Linked DNA regions of Saccharomyces cerevisiae S288C. The main gene of each other region encodes a partner of the protein of the gene in region 2 in a complex. Each region holds a gene or a part of one and is shown on either strand. Other genes may lie near its edges. The genes, in order: SPT20, SGF73 and UBP8. A codon is read from its position in the direction of its gene.

Region 1 (4,240 bases), on a different chromosome or scaffold from region 2:
CCTTTTTTTTATAGTTATTTTATATAGTGTATTTCTAAAGAAAAAGATGTGTTATTTTTTAAACATCCACCTTTTCGTGTCCTTATAAGATTCATGAGACTTTTTATATATCTCCTTCTCCATTTCTTCTAGTTTCAGTAAAAATGTGCTAGTTGCTATATTAGTGTTCGCTGAATTTTTTCCGGTCGAGTCTGCATTGAGATCAATCGATAAACTACTAGCATGATGATTAAGTTCTTGGGCACGTTGCAAAAGTAGCTCACTAACGACATTGGCCAGTTCTTTTTCGCTAAACAACATTATCCATTTTATGGCTAGACTGAAGAAATGCGAATTTATGGAATGCAAGTCCAGAGCCACCGGATCGGTCTTTATAGCGTTCATAACTTTCGTAGAAAACATATCTGGTGGCAGGAGTTCCACAAAAGGTACAGGTTCTTCATCTACCAAGGCTTCGTCACCACCCACAATTGCAAGGATTCTTGCTAACCATAGTGGCAGGCTTAGTTTAGTGTTTTTCGTTATGGGTCGTCCTGGGTTGTTTTCCAAATAACCAAGACCAGGAATATCATATTGAAATTTACAAGGAAACTCTGTCCCATCTGCTAGGACATCATCAATGTCATAGTAACCCATCCTTTCTATGCTTGCCCTTCTATTGTAAAAATATAATACCAAGAACAAAGTTGGCATCAATTCCATTGCGATTTTCACTACGCGTCGGCATTTATCTCGGAGAACCCGAAGCGATGGGTATATCATTTATAGATATAAAAGGGAAGTGACTCCAACAACTGAAAAACCGTTGTCTCCATCTACTACTTCAAAGACTTCATCAAGTAATAGTATAATCAATATGGTCTGTGATACACTGGTATATCATCCCTCCGTGACGAGATTCGTCAAATTTCTAGATGGCTCAGCTGGCAGAGAAAAGGTTCTCAGATTACTGCAGTATTTAGCAAGATTTTTAGCAGTACAGAACTCATCTCTCTTGGCCAGGCAATTACAAGCTCAATTTACCACAGTCAGAAAATTTCTGAGGTTTCTGAAGCCTTTAAACCACTTGCAGGCAGCTGCTAAATTCTACGATAACAAGTTGGCCAGCGACAACGTCGTTAGAGTCTGCAATGTTTTGAAAAACATCTTCTTTGCTGCATATTTGTCGTTAGATCAAGTCAATCTTTTGAGAATTTTGAAAGTGATTCCTGTAACCGTTCTTACCGGTAAGAAAATACCTCGCTGGTCCAATTGGTGTTGGCTGTTCGGCCTCCTAAGTGGTCTGGCTATGGATCTTCGTAAGATCCAAACATCTCATGCCCAGATTGCTGCGTTTGTCAAGGCAAAATCACAAAGCCAAGGCGATGAGCATGAGGATCACAAGAAGGTACTAGGGAAGGCATACCAAGACAGGTACACCGCGTTAAGAAGACTATTCTGGGATGCTGCAGATTCGTTCATCGTCCTCAACAACCTAGGGTACTTGTCTAGCAACGAAGAGTATGTTGCGCTATCCGGTGTTGTCACATCTATCCTTGGTATGCAAGACATGTGGAAAGCTACATAGCTTTCTTTTCATCTTTTTTTTTTATTTGGCTATTCTCCGCTTATGTTTGATTCGACCCTTCTTTATAATTTATTTCTTATGTATATGACCCAATGTTCCATGTCCATACCTGTATAAGATTCTGAGTGACAATAGTTCTTGTTATCCGCACCATTAATAACTAACTAACTATCTTTAAAGTAAAACTGGGATCGCTATAACTGCTTAGTTCTGTTACCCGCTCGTGATACCTGACGACCATTAATCATGAAGAAGTGTTAAGATGATCGACCAGCAGAGATAAAAGAATGAGAAAAGTAGCCTTCAAGAGGATTAGGAAGGAATAGTTACGGTTAATTTGCGCCTATATATTTCAGGGATGAGTGCCAATAGCCCGACAGGAAACGATCCCCATGTATTTGGTATTCCTGTGAACGCAACACCATCCAATATGGGTTCGCCAGGCAGTCCAGTTAATGTACCACCTCCTATGAACCCAGCGGTAGCAAATGTAAATCATCCTGTTATGAGGACAAACAGTAATAGTAATGCCAATGAAGGTACTAGGACTTTAACCAGGGAGCAAATACAGCAATTGCAGCAAAGACAACGATTATTACTACAGCAAAGACTACTCGAACAACAGAGAAAACAGCAAGCACTCCAAAACTATGAGGCTCAGTTTTATCAAATGCTTATGACCTTAAACAAAAGACCTAAAAGACTTTACAATTTTGTGGAAGATGCAGACTCAATTTTGAAAAAATATGAGCAATATTTACACAGTTTTGAATTTCATATTTATGAGAATAATTATAAGATTTGCGCTCCTGCAAATAGCAGGTTACAACAGCAGCAAAAGCAACCCGAGCTGACTAGTGACGGTTTAATATTAACCAAAAATAACGAAACTTTGAAAGAATTTTTAGAGTACGTCGCAAGAGGAAGGATTCCTGATGCTATTATGGAAGTCTTAAGGGACTGTAATATCCAATTTTACGAAGGAAATCTTATTTTACAGGTTTATGACCATACTAATACAGTTGATGTCACCCCCAAAGAGAACAAGCCTAATTTGAACAGCTCTTCTTCCCCTTCAAATAATAATAGCACACAGGACAATTCCAAGATTCAACAACCATCCGAACCTAATAGTGGTGTGGCAAATACAGGCGCAAACACAGCAAATAAGAAGGCATCCTTCAAACGACCTAGAGTATATCGAACATTGTTGAAGCCTAATGATTTGACGACGTATTATGACATGATGTCTTATGCAGATAATGCCAGGTTTTCTGATAGCATTTATCAACAGTTTGAATCTGAAATTTTAACACTTACCAAGAGGAACTTGTCACTAAGTGTGCCATTAAATCCATATGAGCACCGAGACATGTTGGAGGAAACAGCTTTTTCAGAACCTCATTGGGATAGTGAAAAAAAATCCTTCATTCACGAACATCGTGCTGAGTCTACGAGAGAAGGCACGAAGGGCGTTGTAGGGCATATCGAAGAACGCGATGAATTTCCGCAACATAGTTCAAATTATGAACAGTTGATGTTGATCATGAATGAACGCACAACAACGATAACCAACTCCACGTTTGCTGTTTCGTTAACCAAGAATGCGATGGAGATTGCTAGCTCCAGTTCCAACGGGGTACGTGGAGCTTCGTCCTCAACTTCGAATTCCGCATCAAATACAAGGAATAACAGTTTGGCTAATGGCAATCAAGTAGCTTTGGCAGCGGCAGCGGCTGCGGCTGCAGTGGGATCTACCATGGGTAACGATAATAATCAATTTAGCAGGCTGAAATTTATTGAACAATGGAGAATAAATAAAGAAAAAAGAAAACAGCAGGCTTTAAGTGCAAACATCAATCCAACCCCCTTCAACGCTAGAATATCGATGACAGCACCATTGACTCCACAGCAACAGCTACTTCAAAGACAACAGCAGGCCTTGGAGCAACAACAGAATGGTGGAGCCATGAAAAACGCAAATAAACGGAGTGGTAACAATGCCACCAGTAACAATAATAATAATAATAATAATTTAGATAAACCAAAGGTTAAGCGACCTAGAAAAAATGCAAAAAAAAGCGAGAGCGGTACACCAGCTCCTAAAAAGAAAAGAATGACTAAGAAGAAACAGAGCGCAAGTAGCACGCCCTCTTCTACTACAATGTCATAATCTACTTAAATAGAGTTATCATTCCTTATATATATATATATATATATATATATATATATATATATATTGTATTAAAGTACATCATTATTTAAAAAAAATTCTCACTTGGGCATCTCACCTCTGTGCTCAAGCAAAAGAATCTTTTGGCTCATTTTCCAGAAGATATTTTATTAGTTCGTAGATATTTTGTCTATCACTAACTGTATGAATCCATATACCATAGACCTCATGCTTCAAGTTCTTAATAATGACCAATTCATCTTTCACCTCTACCCCCATGCACTCTAGTGGGTTAAGTGTATCCTCTTCTGCATTAAATACTTTTCTTTTATTTACGACACTATTGGGAACAATGCCCATAGAAAAATTGTCAGGATTAATTCGGTTTAATATGATCAATCCATAATTGTATATGTCCTTTCCACTTAAAGTTTTGCCGCAATTATATGTTAGCGAATCATTACTTTTATAAGAGTTCCCATTTCCACTGCTATTCCTGT
Region 2 (5,767 bases):
TCTACATGTATTCCGCTTCTGCATATCTTTAGTTCTGCCACTTTGATGTTTTATTGTCATTTCCCCGACCAATTATTGGCTCAAAGAGCTGGGCTATTGAAGAAAATATACAGACTACCATTTGACTTAATAGAACAGTTTTCCGTGAGTGCTGCCGATACTGTTGTGGTAAATTCAAATTTCACTAAGAATACGTTCCACCAAACGTTCAAGTATTTATCCAATGATCCAGACGTCATTTATCCATGCGTGGATTTATCAACAATCGAAATTGAAGATATTGACAAGAAATTTTTCAAAACAGTGTTTAACGAAGGCGATAGATTTTACCTAAGTATAAATCGTTTTGAGAAAAAAAAGGATGTTGCGCTGGCTATAAAGGCTTTTGCGTTATCTGAAGATCAAATCAATGACAACGTTAAGTTAGTTATTTGCGGTGGTTATGACGAGAGGGTTGCAGAAAATGTGGAGTACTTGAAGGAACTACAGTCTCTGGCCGATGAATACGAATTATCCCATACAACCATATACTACCAAGAAATAAAGCGCGTCTCCGATTTAGAGTCATTCAAAACCAATAATAGTAAAATTATATTTTTAACTTCCATTTCATCATCTCTGAAAGAATTACTGCTCGAAAGAACCGAAATGTTATTGTATACACCAGCATATGAGCACTTTGGTATTGTTCCTTTAGAAGCCATGAAATTAGGTAAGCCTGTACTAGCAGTAAACAATGGAGGTCCTTTGGAGACTATCAAATCTTACGTTGCTGGTGAAAATGAAAGTTCTGCCACTGGGTGGCTAAAACCTGCCGTCCCTATTCAATGGGCTACTGCAATTGATGAAAGCAGAAAGATCTTGCAGAACGGTTCTGTGAACTTTGAGAGGAATGGCCCGCTAAGAGTCAAGAAATACTTTTCTAGGGAAGCAATGACTCAGTCATTTGAAGAAAACGTCGAGAAAGTCATATGGAAAGAAAAAAAGTATTATCCTTGGGAAATATTCGGTATTTCATTCTCTAATTTTATTTTGCATATGGCATTTATAAAAATTCTACCCAATAATCCATGGCCCTTCCTATTTATGGCCACTTTTATGGTATTATATTTTAAGAACTACTTATGGGGAATTTACTGGGCATTTGTATTCGCTCTCTCCTACCCTTATGAAGAAATATAATGTCTACTTAAATAAATAATGTATACCCCCCGAAGAAAAAATAATTTACATTGGAGAAGAAATCTCTAAATGCAAATAGCGTAACTTGTCCACAAACATAGACGTGTACATGTTACTTCGGCGAATAATTTTTTATTACTCACTTCGTGAACATGCTGGATAACGTGCATGATTCAATTAATTTATTCTGCCATTGTAGGGGTTCACAGAATTTCCAATACCTACTTCAATTCTCCCGTTATTGCCAGAGACATTAATACCGGTAGATACACCTTGCCCGGAGCCATTGACGCTGTTGACACTAGGGGGAGATTGGATACTATTTACGCTAGTATTGGGAGAGCTTATGGAGGCTTTCATCGTCATGAGGTTATTGTTACCGTTTTTACTACTATTATTGTTGTGGGTGCCAGATAAATGGCTATCTTGATTTGATTCTTGCATTAATTTGGTAGCGTTGGCTAAATATGAAGCAGCAGCTTCAAACTTCTGTTGTTGTAGTTGTTGTTGTCGTAGTTTTTGTTGTTGTGATTGTATCTCCAGCGGCGTGAGACCTGTGTCTTGAGACTTGTGCTGCTGCTGCTGCTGCTGCTGCTGAATTTGCTTGCTCGACACATTGGCATTAAATGATGAATTCGTTGCCCCGCCGGGGAAATGATTGGGCACCATACCTTGAGTAGGTTGTTGGGTACTGGCCTGGGCCTGCGCTTGGGGTGAGTGATGTTGCTGCTGCTGTTGCTGCTGTTGCTGTTGTTGAGAAAGAAGCTGAGCCTGTAGAGCTCTCTGTTGTTGTAGTCTTTGTATTTGTTTCGGATTGAGGTTTTGGTTTGTGAGGTGATTAATTGGCTGTGGAGTCCTAACACGAAATTTGTAATCTGTTGTTCTATCCAAATCCAAGCATCCTACACGAGAATGGATCGCACCGTAACCTGGAGATGTATATCCTGGTTTCACAGAAAAGGAGGAAGCAAACATTTCCCTCATTCTAAAATATTTAGTCCTGTATCTAACTGACGATAGTACCGTTGACTCTAGTGGCAGTGGGAAAGATCGGGATACCCCATTTAGAACCTGTGTTGTTTCCTCTTCAGGAGTTAGGTTAACGTGTCCTATCTCATTGATATTGTTACCATTGTGTACAGTACTCTTACCACCATTTTTGGCTGATTTCCCACCATTCACATTTCTTTGCTTAGACCTTTGACCTTGTTTCTGTTGCTGAGTATGTTTTTTCTGCTCTTTTTGTATCTGCTTTTGTAATTTTTGTAATTCTTGTTGCTTAGCACGTTTCTCAGCAGCTGCACCAATTTTTGTTTGATGTTCTCTATGATAATCTGCTAGCAAGACGTCGTAGGGCTTGGAACGACCAGAGACAGCCCTCTTTGCACCCATTGAATGGGACTTACATGTCAGCGAACGTGCACAGTAACCACCTTCCGGCAACTCTACACCACACTGTTTGTTGAAATCAATTAAATGCTTTTCAGTTGGGTTTCTTTGTTTGACTTTCTTTTGTTTTTTTATGGAAGAGCTGAAGGTTTGAGGAGTCCCAGTTTTCGATCTTTTCGTGTCCATATTTGGTGTGTTCGCAGATTCCATAGATGTGGATCTTTTCAAAGGGTTAAAAGAAGAGTCATTCTTCTTGTAATTGGCACCATTGGAATTATCGTCGTCATCATCAGCGTCATCATCATCTTCGTTGTCGTCGTTATCGTCATCATCATCATCATCATTGTTATTATCATTGCTATTGTCATCGTCGTTATTATTTCTCCCAGTTGATTCTACTCCATTTCGTATCGTTTCCCTAGTACTCTCATCTCTTGGATCTGTGCTACTTTTTCCAGATGCTCCCGCACAATGGTTTTCTAAGTGGTCTACAATTGCTGTCAAAGCTAAGGGTTTCCCACATTTTTCGCACACTCTATACTGAATCGGTTTATCCAAAGGATCTTCAATGAGTTGTGCATTCGGATTGAAGTATTTTTTTAGACTTTCGCGATTCATGTGATCATACTGCAAAGGAGTGTCCTTCGCGGACGACATTAAACTTTTCCATGAATCGTTGGAAGGACCACTTCCCTGAGATAAAGAATATTCCTCAATAACTTTGGGCTTAATTCCTTTAATCTCTGCATCGCCTGACCTCATTTTAGCTCTTTACTCTTTTGCGCTTCTCTTGTGTGTTCACTATTCTTATTTTTTTGGTTTATTCCGTTTTGGTAAATTAATCTCTAATGAGCGATGCTGGATATCAAAAAGGTTCTAAATAGTAATTTAGAAATTATTTTACAGCTATGAACAACTATATACGCTCTTCAGCTCCACTTTCTTCTGTTCGTAATGATTTTTGTTTCAAAATTGCTTGTACCAGCAATCTAACATCCTATATTCATTCATTTAGCATTTGCATTATGACGCACCTCTGTTTTCTTCGGGTAACTGAGTGAAAAATATCCATATGCTGAAGCACGCCTATTTATCAATGTTTATTATATTAAAAACTATAGATGGCTCGATGAGGTCTTACGTAAGTTTTTATAGTTCTCGCAAACATGATTGATTAATTGGAAGGCAATGGTAGTACTTCCAGGTAAATTGATATCATTTTTGAATGGAACACGATACCCGCCGGCGTACTTATCCAAAGCTTGAATGATTTCAGTTGTATCAAACCATTGAGCATCCAATAATTCGTCGTCATGATTCAGGTTGATAACCTCATTTTTGGAATTGAATTGAACTATGCCTAAACAGCCAATCATCAAACTGCAAGGGTAAGGCCAGGGCTGTGACCGGACTATATCAATATTTTTGCATGAAATGCCTGTTTCCTCCCATATTTCTCTGATACAAGCCTCCTCTATGGTTTCTGATGGCTCCATAAAACCTGCTATTGTTGAATACAATACAAAATCACCGTACCTTTTTTTTGATCTTGCCAGACAACACTTAGAGTAATCCGAATTGGTCAAGGCTATAATGACCGTTGGATCAGTTCTTGGGAAGCAAACGTTATTAATTCTTGCATCTCTCACATTACAGTATACATTCCGATTTTCATTAGAACACTGAAGCTTAGTTCCTGCCTCTACTGGGAATAACGGAGACCCACAACCGGGACAGAATTTGTACTTTGCTAGCCAATCCAGATACATCTTACCTTGTGAATAAAGTGAAGCATCCTCATTTGTTTGTTTGAAAATGTGATCTCTGGTCACCTTCGGATAGGAAAAAATAGGCTCAAAGTCGACTTTCTTGAAGAGTGTGCTCTCAGTAACACGGATATCTAATCCAAAATATGGTGTTCCTTTGTAAGAAATATTAGACCATTCAAAATTAAATGCAGAATCTGTGCCTTCCAGGAGACCTAAAAATGTTACATTGATGCCTGATTCATCGCTTCTTGAGCGAGTTGTGTTCAATAAAGTAGTGTATAAAGGAACTATTGCTGACAAAATATTCTTGTAAGACTTTACAGAATTAGAAAGCTGAACTAGGTCACCATTTTCGGGCGAAATGAGGGCTTCCCCTTCGATAAATGGGATAAAAACGGTAGAGTCATGGTTCAATGATTTTTTGATGAACTCTTTCGAACATCTTAAGAACGAAACTCTGTTCAAGACATGCTGGCCAAAAAAAGTCACAGCAGTGGACATTCTCTCAACTAACCGTAGCGTAATCAAAAAAAAATCAGGAGCAAAAAGGTACAATCTTTATCTTCTCTTTCGTTTCGCTCCTGCTCTTGTTCTTTATTCTTATGGTTGGTGGGCTTTATATTTCGAAGAAAAGCAACCGCTTTTGTAAGTTGGAAAAGTAGATTTATGAAGTGATAGATTAGCCCGTCTGAAATACTTATAACACGAAAACGAATGCCATAATGAAGTTGAAGATACTATAGAAAATAATAAGGAAATCAATCATTTTTATACATCTACTTGCAAGAAGCGATGTGGCAAAATATATAAAAGGCAGGACGAAAGAAGAATAAAGAGTTAAACATATTTACATGATATATTCCTTATTTTCTCGAAGAGAAAACAGACTATTTTGATTAACACGATTGGTAGATTGCTACAGTTTTAAAATCATTCTAAACTGACCTTAGCTCCTAAGTCTTCCAAGGTTTTCTTAATCTTTTCAGCATCATCCTTGGCGACATTTTCTTTCAAGACCTTTGGTGCAGCTTCAACGAATTTCTTAGCTTCAACTAATGAAAGCCCCAATAATCCCTTGACTTCCTTGATGACTTTAGCCTTAGTCTTCGTGTCGAACGAGTCCAACTTCACCGTAAACACGGTCTTTGCCTCAGGCTTAGCTTCTTCTTCAGCACCACTACCAGCTTCACCAGTGGAGCTAGGTACATTACCAGCACCTGCGCCTGCAGCGCCTGCCATGAATCCGCCCATAGGCATGGAAATTTCTGGAATGTTCAATACGGTTTTCAGCTCGTTGATTAAACTGGAAGTTTCCAAAAGAGTCAATTGTGAAATGTCCTGTACAATTTTAGAAATTTTAGGATCAACTGGCCTTACATCATCCTTATGTGATGGTGCTGTTGTAGTCGTAGAATTGAAACGGGTTG
Region 3 (3,564 bases), on a different chromosome or scaffold from region 2:
GCGTGTAACCGACAAGATATGGGTCCCAAAGAGACACTAGATGCTTGGCAGAAATAAAATTACCGCTTGCTAGGAACAAGAGACATGATCCTATTATTCCGCAGACACGAGGTCCATACATATCCAAAATCTTACCGACAGGAAGGGCCATGATGTTTGTTACAGTAGCACTGAGAGCAAATATAAAATTTAATTTCAGATCCTGTGCAGTACATAATAATCTATCACCATCCTTAGGATCACACAATTCATGGTATACACCTTCTGAAATTAAAATAGGTTTCAAAGCAGCAAATCCAAAGATAATACCAGCTGAAAAAAGACACCAGATACAAGCACAGGCAACCTGTGCGTATCTCAACGTTCTTGTACTGGTCATTACAGTCTTTACTGCCCTAATACTGGCCTAACGAGGAATAAAATCATTTATAGATGCCATTGTTATCGTTATCATAATGAAGCATCGTATCGGTAGTTAAGTTAATTTGACGTATTATTACCCGGAGGATTTAATCATGTATAAATATGTATGTGAAGATTATGTGAAGATTACGTGCTATATATACTTGCCTCAGGTCAACTGCTGGAGCCATTGAGCCACTTTTCTCACAAACCCTCTTGAGTTCGGCACAAAGTGGCCCCCAGAGTGCATTAGTAAAGTGCGAGAGTCTTCCGTACAAGAGTTATATAGGCCTTGCACTTTGGCCGGCTCTGTGATAGTGTCAAGTTCTCCTTGAACATGTAGAGATGGGACCGATATTGGATGCAGGTCGTACTGTTCTTGATACTGTTGTGGTTGGAACCTGAAACCACTGACCGCCATGAAAAATTCTAGCGGCGGCTGTTCTTCTGTTGTAAGGCCCAACAAACCATTGAAATCCGTTGCTAGGTATCCAGCTACACCGGCTCCTTGACTAAATCCTACAATACCTGCAAATGGACCATTTTCAAGGACATAATTGTGTAAATAGTCGATTGTCGTCTGCGGTATGAAATAGCCACCGGTGGAAGGGTCATTCTCTAGCCACGCAAGCACACCGGTATTCTCACCATCCCCAGGTGCATCAGCAATTACCTCACCCAAGAAATCAGGAACATCAGCTGGGGGAAATTCATTGGGTGCTGTTGGATAGTAGAGTTTATATCCTAACTTTTCCATTTCGGCGCGAAACCCCTTTGTCTTAGAGGCAAAGTAGTCACCTGACTGCGCAAGCCCATGTAACATCAATACATTCTTCGTCATGGTTACAGCTATTAAATCTTATAGTCTTGTAGTATTGCACATTCTTTCTTCACTTATACCTTTTTTTTCTTCTCTATTCTTCCTTTTTTTGCTTTTCTTTGAATTTTTCAAGTGAAAAAAAATCCTCGATTATAGTGTGTAAAAAGCATCAATAATTTATATTGTATATGGGCTAGAAAGCTGTCGTAATAGCAAAGGGATTATATTAGTGGACCTGATTAATTCTAAAAAGATATTTTACGGATAATAATAAAGGTTTTCTTTTGAGACCAGTTAGTCCATTTCTTTCAACTGGCTGTCATAATTTTGAATACTATTTATTGATCGGATCAAAAGGGAAAACTACAGCTTCGGTCCTCGTCGTCCTACTTGAAACCCTGCTTTTTTTATTTGTTATTAATAATTATGAGCATTTGTCCACATATACAGCAAGTATTTCAGAATGAAAAGTCTAAAGATGGGGTTCTAAAAACGTGCAATGCTGCCAGGTATATATTAAATCATTCCGTACCCAAGGAAAAATTCTTAAACACCATGAAATGTGGTACATGCCACGAAATAAACTCTGGTGCAACTTTCATGTGTCTACAATGTGGATTTTGTGGATGTTGGAACCATTCGCATTTTCTCTCTCACAGTAAACAGATTGGTCACATATTTGGTATCAACTCAAATAATGGCCTTTTATTTTGCTTCAAATGTGAGGACTATATAGGGAATATCGATCTGATTAACGATGCTATCCTAGCGAAGTATTGGGACGACGTGTGCACAAAGACCATGGTTCCTAGCATGGAAAGAAGAGATGGGCTTTCTGGCCTGATCAACATGGGATCCACTTGTTTCATGAGTAGTATTCTCCAATGTCTAATCCATAACCCTTACTTTATTAGGCACTCAATGAGTCAAATTCATTCTAATAATTGTAAAGTGCGTTCTCCAGATAAATGTTTTTCATGTGCACTCGATAAAATTGTTCATGAACTTTATGGAGCGCTGAATACAAAGCAAGCTTCTTCGTCATCTACATCTACTAATCGGCAAACCGGATTCATATATCTTTTAACTTGTGCCTGGAAAATCAATCAAAATCTAGCAGGGTATTCACAACAAGATGCTCATGAATTTTGGCAGTTTATAATTAACCAAATCCACCAAAGCTATGTTCTTGATTTGCCAAATGCCAAGGAAGTCAGCAGAGCAAATAATAAGCAGTGTGAATGCATAGTGCATACTGTGTTTGAGGGCTCCTTGGAAAGTTCTATTGTGTGTCCAGGCTGTCAAAATAATTCAAAGACAACCATTGATCCATTCTTGGATCTTTCTCTGGATATCAAGGATAAGAAAAAACTTTATGAATGTCTTGACAGTTTCCATAAAAAAGAACAGTTGAAGGATTTCAACTATCATTGTGGGGAGTGTAACAGCACTCAAGATGCAATAAAGCAACTAGGCATACACAAATTACCATCGGTTTTGGTTTTGCAATTGAAAAGATTCGAACACCTACTTAATGGAAGTAACAGAAAACTAGACGATTTTATTGAATTTCCAACTTATTTAAATATGAAAAATTACTGTTCAACGAAGGAAAAAGATAAGCATTCTGAAAATGGCAAGGTTCCAGACATTATTTACGAATTAATCGGTATTGTTTCCCACAAGGGGACGGTTAATGAGGGACATTATATTGCATTTTGTAAAATTTCTGGAGGGCAATGGTTTAAATTCAATGATTCCATGGTCTCCTCTATATCTCAAGAAGAGGTTTTAAAGGAACAGGCATATTTATTATTCTACACCATTCGTCAAGTAAATTGATTCAGCAAATAGCATTCAACAATAATAATAAAACAAAAAAGAAGAAAAAGCTATGCATATTCCTATCACAGTTAACGCTTGCTTCCGTTCTTTTTTCTATATCATCGTTTCCATCATGTTTTTCTTTAAATTGAATACTTTCCTATGCTCTTAATGAGTTGCGATTGTGCATATACTGTATTTCAAAATCCTTTGTATCTAACTAAGGAAGAAAATTACTATGACGTTTATTCAGGATTTTTTTTTTTCATTCCTTGCTATACGAACAAAAGAGCAAAGGCTGGAAAACTAAGTGAGTTTATATATAGTAATAATTAAAGAACATATCATTATCATGAATTTAGAATGCAAATTTGCTCCTCTCAAAATGGCATACCTTGTTGTTCGCGAAGGCAAGCCCTTGGTTATAAATAGGATATAATATAATATAGGGATCAAGTACAACTATTTTCTTTTCTTAGCAAGGAGACTTCCAAGAATATCCGTCTTTGGCGTCCTTG

What was found.
Region 1: the proteins of SGF73 (region 2) and SPT20 are in contact, whole or in part, in a cryo-EM structure (PDB 6T9K), measured with the Saccharomyces cerevisiae proteins. Residues at the interface, in NP_011449.1 of Saccharomyces cerevisiae: Lys386 (codon at 2,178), Tyr387 (codon at 2,175), Arg389 (codon at 2,169), Met390 (codon at 2,166), Arg391 (codon at 2,163), Met393 (codon at 2,157), Phe394 (codon at 2,154), Ala395 (codon at 2,151), Ser396 (codon at 2,148), Ser397 (codon at 2,145), Phe398 (codon at 2,142), Ser399 (codon at 2,139), Val400 (codon at 2,136), Lys401 (codon at 2,133), Arg415 (codon at 2,091), Lys428 (codon at 2,052), Val431 (codon at 2,043), Pro434 (codon at 2,034); in NP_014493.1 of Saccharomyces cerevisiae: Phe137 (codon at 2,334), Ile148 (codon at 2,367), Cys149 (codon at 2,370), Ala150 (codon at 2,373), Gly169 (codon at 2,430), Leu170 (codon at 2,433), Ile171 (codon at 2,436), Thr173 (codon at 2,442), Asn176 (codon at 2,451), Thr178 (codon at 2,457), Leu179 (codon at 2,460), Glu181 (codon at 2,466), Phe182 (codon at 2,469), Pro192 (codon at 2,499), Ala194 (codon at 2,505), Ile195 (codon at 2,508), Glu197 (codon at 2,514), Val198 (codon at 2,517), Arg200 (codon at 2,523), Asp201 (codon at 2,526), Cys202 (codon at 2,529), Asn203 (codon at 2,532), Ile204 (codon at 2,535), Tyr294 (codon at 2,805), Ser298 (codon at 2,817), Asp301 (codon at 2,826), Arg304 (codon at 2,835).
Region 3: the proteins of SGF73 (region 2) and UBP8 are in contact, whole or in part, in a crystal structure (PDB 3MHH), measured with the Saccharomyces cerevisiae proteins. Residues at the interface, in NP_011449.1 of Saccharomyces cerevisiae: Gly24 (codon at 3,264), Ser25 (codon at 3,261), Gly26 (codon at 3,258), Pro27 (codon at 3,255), Ser28 (codon at 3,252), Asp30 (codon at 3,246), Ser31 (codon at 3,243), Trp32 (codon at 3,240), Lys33 (codon at 3,237), Leu35 (codon at 3,231), Met36 (codon at 3,228), Ser38 (codon at 3,222), Ala39 (codon at 3,219), Lys40 (codon at 3,216), Thr42 (codon at 3,210), Pro43 (codon at 3,207), Leu44 (codon at 3,204), Gln45 (codon at 3,201), Asp47 (codon at 3,195), His48 (codon at 3,192), Met49 (codon at 3,189), Asn50 (codon at 3,186), Ser53 (codon at 3,177), Leu54 (codon at 3,174), Lys55 (codon at 3,171), Lys56 (codon at 3,168), Tyr57 (codon at 3,165), Phe58 (codon at 3,162), Asn59 (codon at 3,159), Asn61 (codon at 3,153); in NP_013950.1 of Saccharomyces cerevisiae: Thr23 (codon at 1,715), Ala26 (codon at 1,724), Ala27 (codon at 1,727), Tyr29 (codon at 1,733), Ile30 (codon at 1,736), Asn32 (codon at 1,742), His33 (codon at 1,745), Ser34 (codon at 1,748), Val35 (codon at 1,751), Pro36 (codon at 1,754), Glu38 (codon at 1,760), Lys39 (codon at 1,763), Asn42 (codon at 1,772), Thr43 (codon at 1,775), Gly47 (codon at 1,787), Thr48 (codon at 1,790), His50 (codon at 1,796), Met59 (codon at 1,823), Cys60 (codon at 1,826), Leu61 (codon at 1,829), Gln62 (codon at 1,832), Cys63 (codon at 1,835), Gly64 (codon at 1,838), Phe65 (codon at 1,841), Cys66 (codon at 1,844), Asp107 (codon at 1,967), Asn110 (codon at 1,976), Asp111 (codon at 1,979), Leu114 (codon at 1,988), Tyr117 (codon at 1,997).

The regions. Positions count from the first base shown.
Region 1 is NC_001147.6:45,260-49,499, reverse strand, and holds SPT20 (Spt20p), read left to right. Parts: upstream 1-1,925; coding exon 1,926-3,740; downstream 3,741-4,240. Other genes in the region: DNA replication protein PSF3, read right to left, coding at 52-636; PEX11 (Pex11p), read left to right, coding at 857-1,567; DCP1 (Dcp1p), read right to left, coding at 3,867-4,240. UniProt on the Saccharomyces cerevisiae protein: Component of the transcription coactivator SAGA complex. SAGA acts as a general cofactor required for essentially all RNA polymerase II transcription. At the promoters, SAGA is required for transcription pre-initiation complex (PIC) recruitment.
Region 2 is NC_001139.9:375,175-380,941, reverse strand, and holds SGF73 (deubiquitination module subunit SGF73), read right to left. Parts: upstream 3,334-5,767; coding exon 1,360-3,333; downstream 1-1,359. Other genes in the region: ALG2 (GDP-Man:Man(1)GlcNAc(2)-PP-dolichol alpha-1,3-mannosyltransferase), read left to right, coding at 1-1,182; NPY1 (NAD(+) diphosphatase), read right to left, coding at 3,687-4,841; mitochondrial 54S ribosomal protein bL12m MNP1, read right to left, coding at 5,271-5,767. UniProt on the Saccharomyces cerevisiae protein: Component of the transcription coactivator SAGA complex. SAGA acts as a general cofactor required for essentially all RNA polymerase II transcription. At the promoters, SAGA is required for transcription pre-initiation complex (PIC) recruitment.
Region 3 is NC_001145.3:715,067-718,630, forward strand, and holds UBP8 (ubiquitin-specific protease UBP8), read left to right. Parts: upstream 1-1,648; coding exon 1,649-3,064; downstream 3,065-3,564. Other genes in the region: FMP42 (Fmp42p), read right to left, coding at 1-379; FSH2 (putative serine hydrolase), read right to left, coding at 572-1,243; MRE11 (MRX complex nuclease subunit), read right to left, coding at 3,509-3,564. UniProt on the Saccharomyces cerevisiae protein: Histone deubiquitinating enzyme component of the transcription coactivator SAGA complex. SAGA acts as a general cofactor required for essentially all RNA polymerase II transcription.